3 linked regions of the Canis lupus familiaris genome follow. The protein of the gene in region 3 binds, or shares a complex with, the protein of the main gene of each other region. Links are inferred from orthologs where the notes say so. Each region holds a gene or a part of one and is shown on either strand. Other genes may lie near its edges.

Evidence for each region.
Region 1: HYPK (region 3) and NAA50 share a complex: the UniProt entries of both Homo sapiens proteins name them as parts of the N-terminal acetyltransferase E (NatE)/HYPK complex. The link is inferred for Canis lupus familiaris from reciprocal best matches to the Homo sapiens genes HYPK and NAA50.
Region 2: the proteins of HYPK (region 3) and NAA10 are in contact, whole or in part, in a crystal structure (PDB 6C95), measured with the Homo sapiens proteins. The link is inferred for Canis lupus familiaris from reciprocal best matches to the Homo sapiens genes HYPK and NAA10. Residues at the interface, in NP_057484.4 of Homo sapiens: Lys27, His28, Ser30, Gly31, Asp34, Leu35, Arg37, Val38; in NP_003482.1 of Homo sapiens: Glu24, Tyr26, Lys29, Tyr30, Tyr33, Lys59, Glu134, Lys136, Tyr137.

What each region holds. Positions count from the first base shown.
Region 1 is NC_049254.1:18,681,095-18,685,453, reverse strand, and holds the start of NAA50 (N-alpha-acetyltransferase 50), read left to right. Parts: upstream 1-1,529; 5' UTR 1,530-1,806; coding exon 1,807-1,814; intron 1,815-2,266; exon of another isoform or gene 2,267-2,282; intron 2,283-2,950; exon of another isoform or gene 2,951-2,969; intron 2,970-4,359. UniProt on the Homo sapiens protein: N-alpha-acetyltransferase that acetylates the N-terminus of proteins that retain their initiating methionine. Has a broad substrate specificity: able to acetylate the initiator methionine of most peptides, except for those with a proline in second position.
Region 2 is NC_049260.1:122,964,321-122,966,604, reverse strand, and holds the end of NAA10 (N-alpha-acetyltransferase 10), read left to right. Parts: intron 1-740; coding exon 741-825; intron 826-1,327; coding exon 1,328-1,564; 3' UTR 1,565-1,655; downstream 1,656-2,284. UniProt on the Homo sapiens protein: Catalytic subunit of N-terminal acetyltransferase complexes which display alpha (N-terminal) acetyltransferase activity. Acetylates amino termini that are devoid of initiator methionine.
Region 3 is NC_049251.1:10,827,136-10,831,427, reverse strand, and holds the start of HYPK (huntingtin-interacting protein K), read right to left. Parts: upstream 2,829-4,292; 5' UTR 2,506-2,828; coding exon of another isoform or gene 2,327-2,505; 5' UTR 2,155-2,326; coding exon of another isoform or gene 1,978-2,154; 5' UTR 1,513-1,977; coding exon of another isoform or gene 1,414-1,512; 5' UTR 775-1,413; coding exon 613-774; intron 283-612; coding exon 227-282; intron 1-226. Other genes in the region: SERINC4 (serine incorporator 4), read left to right, coding at 1,414-1,512, 1,978-2,154, 2,327-2,505, 2,967-3,046, 3,177-3,270, 3,532-3,743, 3,924-4,019, 4,121-4,247. UniProt on the Homo sapiens protein: Component of several N-terminal acetyltransferase complexes. Inhibits the N-terminal acetylation activity of the N-terminal acetyltransferase NAA10-NAA15 complex (also called the NatA complex).

The sequences.
Region 1 (4,359 bases), on a different chromosome or scaffold from region 3:
ACCAAAGTATATGAACATCTACAGAACGCCTCACACAGGGATGCCAGATTGAAAACTCAGAATTACTGAGAAAGCACATTCGGAGCAAGCTTTAACAGTGACTCCGCAGTGAGGGCCCCATCAGTGAGAGTCTCTCCCAAGCCTGTCTCACCGGAGACGCCTCTGCCTCCAGGGTGTTTCCTACCTCCCAGCTTCCCAGCCCAAGGCTGAAGATAAAGACGGAGCAGGGCCTCTGCAAAAAAAAAAAAAAAAAAAAAAAAAGGGGGGGGGGGGCTTTGGGGAATAGGACCTGGAGACTACCGCGGACCCCGAGAAATGGCTGAACCAAACCCACTACCCGAAGCCCCAACGACTCCGAATAGGCAACCATAGTGGCCGCAGTCACCCCCAACCCTGGGAAAGGTGGACAGCTCACCCCTAAGTGGCGGGGGCGACCCCAGTGGGGGAAGCGAGGGTCAGGAGAACTGGAGAAAAGAGGTCCTAGCCAGTGCAGGATGACAGCAGGGAGGAAGCCCCGGACAACGGAGGCCACCGTTCACACTTTCCCTTCTCTTCCTCTTCCCACCCCTTCTCCTATTCCCACCAGTCGCCGGTTACCGGTCACCGCTCACCTGCCGGGGCGCGAGGTGCACAAACAGTACCGACCACGGACCAGAGGCTCTGTCACTGCGGGAGGGGAAGTCTTCAGCTGCAGCGGGGGGCGGGCCTAGGCAGTCACGTGACCTCGAGCTCCGCCCAGCCGCCCCCGGGGCGAGCGTGCCGCATCCTCGGCGCCTATCTTTTTGCGAGTCCTTCAAACATTCATCTCCTTGCGATGAGGTCGGAGGAAGAACACAAAAAACAAAACCAGAAAACTTTCACAAAGATTGTGTCGTAAAGTGTAATACAGAAGGCGTGCGTGAGTGAAACGGGTTAAAGTGCATTTCCAAGGAAGTGACGTTTCGGCTGGGATCCAGGGACCGGAAGTGGCGAAGGCGTTCTGCCGCCGGTAAAATCCCAGGCTTCAGCCCAGGCGATCACGTGACCTCAAAACTTGGATCGTGCCGGACTGCAGCCAAGTTATCCGGCCGATTGCTCGTTACGTTGGTCTTAAAAAAAAAAAAAAAAAAAAAAGTCTCATTTGTTTGAGTCTTCCACAGATGTCTTTACATTTAGAAAAACCATCTTTATAAAACCGTACTAGGAGGCGGGAGCGTTTGAAGGTCATTCTGGAAATTACCAACTGGAAGAACAGGACAGGGCCGGGGAAGGTTGCTCTTGCTGACATGGGAGAAGAGAGGGAAGGGTGGAAAAATCCGGATTTTACCGCCGGGGCCTACCGGGCACGCCCCACGAGGAGGTGTCGTAAGGGATGGGAGGAGAAAGGTGACGCCAGAAGCCACAGCCCAGTAGGAAAATGGAGGTCCTGAGGTGGAGGGGGAGGGGCGCGCGGAGGGCAGCAGTGCGGCTGCGCGCGAGGCGGCCGGCGCGCCGGCGCGCAGAGGGGGCGGGGTGAAAGGTCACAGCGCGGCGGCGGGTCTGGCGGCGGCGGCGGCGGCGGGAGCGGGAGCGGGAGCGGGCTGCCCGGGGCGCACGTGTGGAGGAGCGGCGGCCCAGCGCGGCGGCGGGACGCACCCCCGCCCCCTCCGGAGACGCAGGGCTGCGCTTGGCTCTCGCGGCCTCCGTCACCCGCTCAGCTCCCTGCCCTAGGCGGGGAGGCCGGCTGGTGGGGGTTGAGCGGCCCGAGCTGCGGGCGCGGAGAGCTCAGGTCGGCGACGACAACGGCGTTGGTAGCGGCGGTAACGACGGCCTCAGCAGGCGGGGAAGATGAAAGGGTGAGGAAGGGCAGCCGGGCAGGGCCCGGCGGGCGAGGGCGAGGGCGAGGGGCTGCGGAGAAGGGGAGAGAGTCTGGGCCGAGACGCGGCGGACGGAGGCTTCGGGGCGCCTCTGCTCGGCGGAGGGGGCGGGTGCTCGGCGCGGGGCTGTTGGCGGGCTCCGGGGCCAGCAGCGGCAAGACCCGGGACGCCCAGCACCGGGGCCCCGAGGACGCGTGTGGGTCGAGCGGAGACTAGCAGCCGGCGGGGGGGGGGGGGGGGGGGGGGGGGGGGGGGGGCACGGCTGGGCCACTCCCGCCCGCCTCTCCGCTCCCCTCCGCTCCAAGCCGAGTGGTCGGGCTGCCCTCTTGAGATCCAGGCTCACCCTGGGACCTGCGATCTTTGACACCTTCCAGCCGTGTTCACGCTTGGGAGCAGCGCAGAACCTTCTGGAGGGAGAAGGAATTGGAATAAAGAGCATGGAGATGAGTATGAAGAGCTAGTGACTCAACTGGATTTGGGTTGGGTCAGGGCGCGTGGAGGAGGGGGAGAGAGCGTGAGCTCTGTAGTCTTGGGGTGCCAAAATGTTTAAGGAAGTGTTGTTGATCAGTAGGTGGAGCTATTGCTCCAGTGGTGTGCTCTTGCCCCTGTGCGGTGGGGGGGTGGGGGGGGCCCTTGGTTCCTACTACCAAGCTTTTTTCAGGTGATAGCAAAACTAATATTTCTTTTTTCACAGTTTCCTTCTTGGATAAAATCAGGGACTATTTTGGCTCAACTCTTTTCCACTTGGATAAGGTGTCCCCTTACTGTTAAAATTATATACAGTTAAAATATTAATTACATAACACGACGTCTTAAAATAATTTCCTAAATTAACCGTTTTGGACCTCTCCTTTTATCAGCGTTAAAAGCTCTCTGGAAGAAAACAAAACAAAACAAAAAAAGCTTTCAGAGATGTCTGAGGGTTTTTGTTTGTTTTTTGTTTTTTGTTTTTTTTCTATTATAGCAAGTCAAAGACTTGGAACTGTGTTTTGAGTTAGTGAAGCCTTTCAGATGTTCAGCCTTTTGAGAATAAAAGCCAGTCTCTGAAATAATCTCATGCCGCCTAAAACAAGGCCCTCGGTGTGTGTACGTGATTGGGGTTGAAGAGGTCCAAGAAAGGTTAATTGGCTGTAGGTCTGTAATGTGATTCCTTAACTCTGATTTTGCTTTAAATATTGGACATTCAGTCTACTGTTGAATTGTCTGTTTCACGTTAAAGCTCAGAAATGAAATTTTCATAGTACATGCACTACAGAACATCGAGTTCTAAAGAGTTCCAGTCGGGATACTCTTTAAAGTATGGGAAGTATTTGTAGCACTTGAATCACGATCTGGGAAGTTTGACTATTATTATATATGACCCAACATAATTTAGTGGGGTTTTTCTTTTTTCCCTTGAGCATGGATGCTTTCTCTTACTGGTTTTTGTATTCTTAATCAGCACACAGTGTTTCTCATCTTGTTCTGTTAGAATACTAAAAATGAGGCTGAATAGTTCTTACAGTTGAGGCTCTACATGGGTTTATAAAGGAGGGCTTCCAAGAAGTTATTCTGGGTGTTTAGATCCAAAATCTTTGGTCTAGCTCAGTCTTGCTAGGGTGTAATGTTCTTTCGGATACCTACCTTGGCAATAGAAATGGGGTCAAACAGTGGTATTATTCACAATCTACCTTCAGTTAATACACTCATGAGGCAATTATCTTTTTATTTAAACTGTGATTTATATGTAACAACACGATGGTGGCAAATCCCCAGAAACAAGTAACTGGCCAAATCTAGAGGAAATTAATAGTTACTGAATTTATGCCGCAAGCCAGCAACCATCCCTAAAATGAAGAGTCCTTACGTCTAGTTCCTATCATTTTTTATCGGGAATTTAAAGTTATGTTCCTAATGTTAAAAACTTTTAAGATGATTTCACAGGAATAGTCCCTTTAACTTCCCAGATGAAAAATTACTAGATAAAATGGGACTTTAAATTTTTTTAAATTTCTAACTCTTGTATTTAAGGCACGGAACAAATGAAGACAATTGACATTATTTAAAAGATTCTGAGGTCCTGGGATCCCTGGGTGGCTCAGCGGTTTAGCCCCTGCCTTCGGCCCAGGGCATGATCCTGGAGTCCTGGGATTGAGTCCCACGTCGGGCTCCCTGCATGGAGCCTGCTTCTCCTTCTGCCTCTGCCTCTGTCTCTGTCTCTCTCTCTGTCTCATGAATAAATAAGTCCTTTAAAAAAATAAATAAAAATAAAAGATTCTGAGGTCCTTAAGTTCAAAGACTTGTAACACATAGTGTGGTTAGCGTTATAGTCCTGACTCTTGATTTGGAAAGGCCTATGAAAATGAAACCGTGGTCCTGAGTATTTACTAGAAACATGAAGAACATCTACCTCTAAGTCGATCTATTTAAATGTTTTACGTCATTGCCTATATTCCCCATCATTTTCAAACTTTTTAAATGTACTATTTTATCAGATTTTTCCATGTATTTATATTTATACTTTGTTTTTATTAGTAGTAGCAGT
Region 2 (2,284 bases), on a different chromosome or scaffold from region 3:
AGTCTCTGTGTGCCTGGCGCAGAACAGAGAAAACCTGGCAGGGAAGTGATGTGGTGGAAGCTGCTCGAAGGGGAGGCTGGGGGTGGAGGACCCCCAGAGACAGCTTCAGCTTCAGTTTGCTGGGGGTGAAGAGGGACCGCCAGGAAAGGCATTCAGGGAGGGGTCCTGATCTGGATATAGAGTCTCTGGTGGCCAACAGTTGTGGGGTCTCGGGGCTGGCCAGCTCTCCTAGGCCATCAAGTCCAACACCCTTCCAGTGGCAGGGTACCCGAGTGTGTGCATCCACCCTCCACTGCAGGCTTGGCCCCTAAGGTCCTCAGAGCAGGGGTCACAGGGCCTGGCAGTGACTGTCAGGAACCAGAGGTCCCAGCTCCCGTCCTCCTCCATTCCAGTGGCTAGGCCCAGGAGTCAGCCTTGGTTGCTCAGTGAGTGACAGGGAACAGGGCATGGAGGGAAGGGAACAGCTAATTCAGGGCTTGGGCTCACAGCAAACCACAGAAACAGATGTGTGGGAGCCAGCTTAGGGACACAGGACAGTGGGAACCCCCAGAGGGTGCAAGGCGCTGGGTGCTACTTGCTGCCTACTGCTGGCGAGCGCAAAGGGCAGGCCGCGTCGGAATGGGCTTGCTGTCTCCGTCGGGGAAGACAGACGTGCCGCCGCACTAGCGCAGGATGCCAGAAGACTGAGGAGACTTGAAACTCTGATTTGGGTCGTTCTTTTCTGCTCCTCCTGCCCCCAGGATCAGCGAAGTGGAGCCCAAGTACTACGCCGATGGGGAAGACGCGTACGCAATGAAGCGGGACCTCACCCAGATGGCTGACGAGGTGAGTGTCCCTTGGGGTGCCTGAGGCTGTCGGAGGCCCTCAGAGGCTGTGCTGCCCAGTCGGCGCCCCTTCCCCTCACGTTCTCAGCTGCCAGGCAGGGAGCAGGCCATGGCCGGGCTGGAAAGGAGGTATCACCCCAATGTTCCCTTCTCTGCCAAAGCCTGTCCTGTCTGAGGCGTGATGGCAGAGGAGAGGGAGGAGGCTCTTGGAAGCGCCCAGAACTTGGTCCCCTGGTCTCAGGGGTGAGACTCGGCTGGGCAGAGGAGAAAGTCAGGGTCCTGCCCCAGGCTCGTCAGGGGCCAGGGCCGTTCTGAGGGCTTGGTGGCAGCCCGTGTGAGGGAGGCATGTGCACGCTCACTCAGAGGAGATTGCAGGGCCCAAGAGGTCTCCTGCCCCAGGCCTGCCGCCCTTCATCCCCGGTGTGGGGGGCGGCGGAGGGCCTGCGTGCTCAGGAGACTTAGGTCCCGTCTCCCCTTCCGTCCCCCCGGGCTCCTGGCGGCAGCTGCGAAGGCATCTGGAGCTGAAGGACAAAGGCAGACACGTGGTGCTGGGCGCCATCGAGAACAAGGTGGAGGGCAGGGGCAGCTCGCTTCCGAGCTCTGGAGACGCCTGTCGTGACGAGAGAGGCCTGGCTGCTGACGATAGCGGGGGCGACAGCAAGGATCTCAGCGAGGTCAGCGAGACCACAGAGAGCACCGACGTCAAGGACAGCTCAGAGGCCTCTGACTCTGCCTCCTAGAGCCCGCACTTGCTCCTCACCCCACCCTGGCCTGCCCATCCTGTGCTCGCCCCTCGAGGTTTCCCAATAAACTTCCCCCAGTGGCCTTGGGGAGTGTGTGTGTGCGAGTATGCACATGGGGGGCGGGCAGGGGGCCACCTCTCTCCAGCCACTCTGTGTCCCTGTGGTTATGGACATCACAGCCTTTCAGCACCGCATGCCCTCCAGAGCCAAGTAGAGGGGATTTGGAGGTGGGGCTCCCATGTCTGATGGCTTTCGGCACCTTTGGGCCCGGGAGAGGGACACCCTGGAGTTCTGGAGGCTGGTCCCTGCCGGGAGGCAGATGCTCTGCTGCTGCCTTGCTGGGCTCCTGATGCCTAGAGTCCAGCTGCTCACTGGGCTTATCTGGTGCCGTCCTGTCTTGTCATGGCCCAAGCAGCCACCCAGTTGCTCAAGTCCTGGCAGCTGTCCTTGATTCCTCCCTCCCCTGCCATCCAGAAGATCGGGAAGTCTGGTGTGTTCGACTACCGTAATACCCATGGAATCTGCCCCCTAACCTAAGCCTTCATTTGGAAATAGTTGATAAACTTTATTTTTAGTACAGCCTTAGGTTTACAGAACTGAGCCATTGGATAGTTCCCTGGAACCTCCCTCCGGCCTCCTTCACCATCCCTGAGTTACTTTGTATCAAATGTTATATTTTGTATCAAATGTTACATGAGCCAACATTGATACATTATT
Region 3 (4,292 bases):
CAAAATGACTCTCACCCCTCACCTAACATCCGCCTCCCCTCCCCTCGGAGTTTTTTACAACAGGCAGCTGGAGGAGGCCTTTCCAACAAGGTTGTAAACCTTATATATGCAAATACTGGTGACAGAGTTGAAGAACGGTACAAGGTACAAAGGCTTAACAATGGCTTTTATTCTCGTATGGGGAAAAGGGAGGAACTTGTAGGGCTGGCCGTGCGCACAGACTTACCGCTCCTGTTTGGCTTTCTGTTCCCGGGACCGTCTGTCTCCGATGACGGACATGGCCTATGAGAAAAACACCTACTTACCGTTCTGTCACCCGCAAGTCCCAATAATCTAAAAAGCTAATAAGCGTGTCAGGGAGGGTCTATTCATGATGACGAGTGTATCAGGAACCAAGGCCTAGGTTTAACTCAATTCTGTGCACGTGAGGTCCACTTTAAACACAATCTCCACCAAACTCTCTTTCGCAAGCGGCGGGCTCCAGTGACGGTTTCCCTCTTGCCTCCTCCCGCCAACGGGATGGGGACCCTGTCCTGGAGCCGGGCTTCCAGTTAGAACCGGAGAGGCCCCTCCGCTATCAGCCCGCCCAGACACGCTCACGGCCAACCTCACCGTCTCCAAATTGGAACTCTGGATCTCCTTCTCCTCCGCGTAGTCGGTGACTCGCTCCAGGTCCGCCGCACCGCTGTCATGCTTCCGTGGCTTCTCGGGAGGCCGCTCCGGGCCGCTGGTCTCAGTCTCCAACTCCAGCTCCACATCCCCCTCGGTAGCCATATCGATCCCACCGTGCCGCTGCACAGGCCCCGCCCCACCTCACCAAGACTTCCGGTAGCTGCCCTGAAACTTCCGCCCGGAGAGGATGAGGCGGGGCTGGGCTCGGGCCACACCTTCACTAATGTTCTGGGTTCTAGAAACTTCAGTCAGGAAGGAGGGTTGCCTCTCAGACTTCCTGTAGGGGTTCTAGTGTTGTTTTCTGCAAGGCCCTCCCACACAGCTACCCCGTCATTACTCCGGCCCTCACCAACCGACATCCTTAGCTTCTCTTCACCTAGATTCTACCCCTTCCAATCCATCCCGCCCCCATCAATTCTGTTCAACCAGGATGGATGACGTCTAGTCCTAAACCAATTAAGGATGCTAATCCACTAGAGGCCAGATTTGCAAAGTGCTCCATAATCTGGGGAGAACAGCCTGTGTGGCCCAAAGGCCCTGCAAAGAAAGTAGCTTTACAGAGACATTTGCATTTACCACATCCGGGAGGTTGGTGTTCCTTTCGTTATGTCCCTCCTCATACTCCTTTAGACTGGGTGATCACCCCCCAGCACCGTGGCAGCCCATGGCTGAGGACAAAAAAAAGCTACTTTCTCATCCTACTTCCATCTGGCGGACCTGGGCCTAATCCCTGGGACAAGGATGGTGGGTGCCAAGGCAGTTACAGAACCCAGCACCTCCCTCCACCTGGCACAACGCAGTGGAATCAGCAATATCATGGTGAATCCTCCCTTCTATCAGGTGAGAGCATACTTGGGCAAAGGGGCTTGAAAGGTCCCTAGAGCAGGAACTAAGAAAATGGAAGGGAATGGTGGCTGAAGCTGGGGAAGAAAACCCAGGGAGCCAATAAAGATGATAGGCCTTCCTTTCCCCTCTGAGGCCTTTCCTTTTCTTAGCTCCTGAAATTAAACCTCTTGTCCCACTTCCCAGTACCAGGTCTATAGGTCTAACAGAAAGGTGAGAGGCCAGGTGTGACTTAGGCTTTTAGGAAGGTCTGCTCAAGCCTGTATCAGCTCTTATGATGAAAGCTCTACTTGATGTCAGTGGAAGGCAATCCTAAATAGCTTGGAACCAGATTCTGAGAATTCCTGAGTGAAAGGAGAGAAGAAAACGAAAGGGAAATTTTGGAATTCAGCCTCATGGGTTAACCTAATACATACATTAAACTTTTCCTCAGCAAATCTCCATCTGCTGCTCTATCCCCAGGTGTCCTGCTGTGAGCCTGTTCCCTGTACCTGCAGCTGCCATTCTAGATGGCCCCTTGTCACAGAGTCTGCTTGTAGCCGCCTGTTCTACATCCTCCTCCACTTGGGGTCCTCAGCAATCTGCTGCCTCCTGCTGTCAAGGACAGTAATGGAAAGAATCTGGGGGAAGGCACATGGGGTAAGAGGGAGGATTCAGGTTGCAACCCAAGAGTGAAAGGTGAAACCCTCAGATAGACAAAAAATTCAGATTGGGGGGTAGGGGACAACTGAATGGATATAACCATGAGAAGCAGGTACCTCTCTATTCATGAATTGCCCTGCTATTTCTCACATGCACTCTCCTCCTCCAGATCCAGATGCCCTCAGGGTTATGTGTCCATCTGTTTGGCTACACTCACTGCCCAGTGCTCAGTGGCTCTGGAGCTGTGTACCGAGTATGCGCAGGAACTGCCACCTTCCACCTACTGCAGGCTATGCTGCTAGTCCAGCTCCACTCCCCCTCCAGCCTGCGGGCACAGCTCCACAACAGGTTTGTGTATATATACTTTGGGTGGGGTGAGACTGGGGAGGAAAAGTAGACATAGGCTGAGTAAAGGAAATTCCAAGATGAAGTAACAGCAGTGTAAAAACTCCAAAAACAGCTTTAAGCTCCTGCTTCTGCCATACTTACTGTGTGACCATGAGCCACATACTTACCCTCTTTGAACTTCTAGTTGCTAAAATGGAGAGAACAGTGGGGTTATTATATGCAAACCCTTTGTCAACTGTGAAACACTGTCCAGATATTATTTAGGTATCTGAGAGAATTTGGAATAAGCTGTGATGGGCCTATTTCCAGCCCTTCTCACGTGGGACTGGTTCCTCCTTTCCTATACTTAGTTGTCTCTTCTCTTCCCTTTCCTATAGTTTTGCTTTCTCCTTTGCCTTCTTCCATAGGCACTGTTCACTCCGCTTTGCCTTTTCTTGAGTCTTGTTTTGTCTCCTAACCAGCTTCTGGATCCTCAAACTGCTGTTCCTGCTAGGTCTCTGTGCTGTTGCCTTCTGCATCCCTGATGAGCATCTCTTCCCAGGTACCTTCCATCTCATATCCTAATCAGCAGGAGTAAGCTAATAGCTTTTCTAAGAAAGAGAGGGTAGGAAGAAAACCAGGAGTAATGACATGGTCAGCTACATTTTCCCACTGGTGCCCCCTACTTGCAGCCTGGCATTACATTGGTATCTGTGGAGGGTTCACGTTCATCCTGCTGCAGTTGGTGCTTATCACAGCCTTTGCCCATTCCTGGAACAAAAACTGGTAAGGAGCACTTAATCCTAAAGGCTCTTCCTGGGAAGGTTGTCTGACATTACTAGACCCAGTAGGGTTGGGCAAAACGCATGACAGGCCAGTGGCCCCCTAACTTCCCACTGAACAGTGCCAAAAAGCTCAGAAACATGAGGACTCTGTAGGCTAGGTGGGATGAGTAGTCACACCAGTGTTCCGGGAGCAGGGGGGGGAATAGTTTATTAAAGGGTAAAGAGTTGGAGCCCCAAGCCACTGCCCACCTCCCACCCTTAGGCAGACAGGTGCAGCCCAAGACTGCCGCTGGTTCCTAGCTGTACTGCTGGCTGCCCTGGGATTCTACACCATGGCAGGTGTGGCAGCTGTGCTCCTGTTCCACCACTACACACACCCAGCTGGCTGCCTGCTCAACAAGACGCTGCTTAGTCTGCACCTTTGTTTCTGTGGCCTCCTCTCCTTCCTCTCCATCGCTCCCTGCATCCGCCTCAGTGGGTACATGCCTTGCAGCATTCCAAATCTGGAAGGCCTTTAGTATAGAAAAATTCGTTAGCTTCCCTAATCTTAGTCAATGGTCTGCTTCCTCCAAAGGGTGGGTGAAAGAAGTATAGATGGATATGAGCAGAAATTACTACCCTGTAGACAAAAGCAATGATCTCCATTCTCCCCAGAGCAACCCCGTTCTGGCCTTCTACAAGCCTCTATCATCAGCTGCTACATCATGTACCTGACTTTCTCTGCACTGTCCAGCCGTCCTCCAGAAAGTGGTAAGGACTGGACCTGGACTCCCCTTGCTAAAACCTTTTGTTCATACCAAATACTTAGCTCTTTTTTTCCTTACCACCTTTCTTCTGTTGCCTTTTTGCAGTAATCTTTCAAGGACAGAATCACACTCTGTGCGTGCCTGGCCTGAGTAAAATGGAATCGCAAACACCAGATACTTCTCTGGCAGTGCTAAGTGCTGGCATCATGTATACTTGTGTCCTTTTTGCTTGGTGCGTAAAGGTATCAAGGGGAGAGGTGTGAGAGAAGGGAGGATA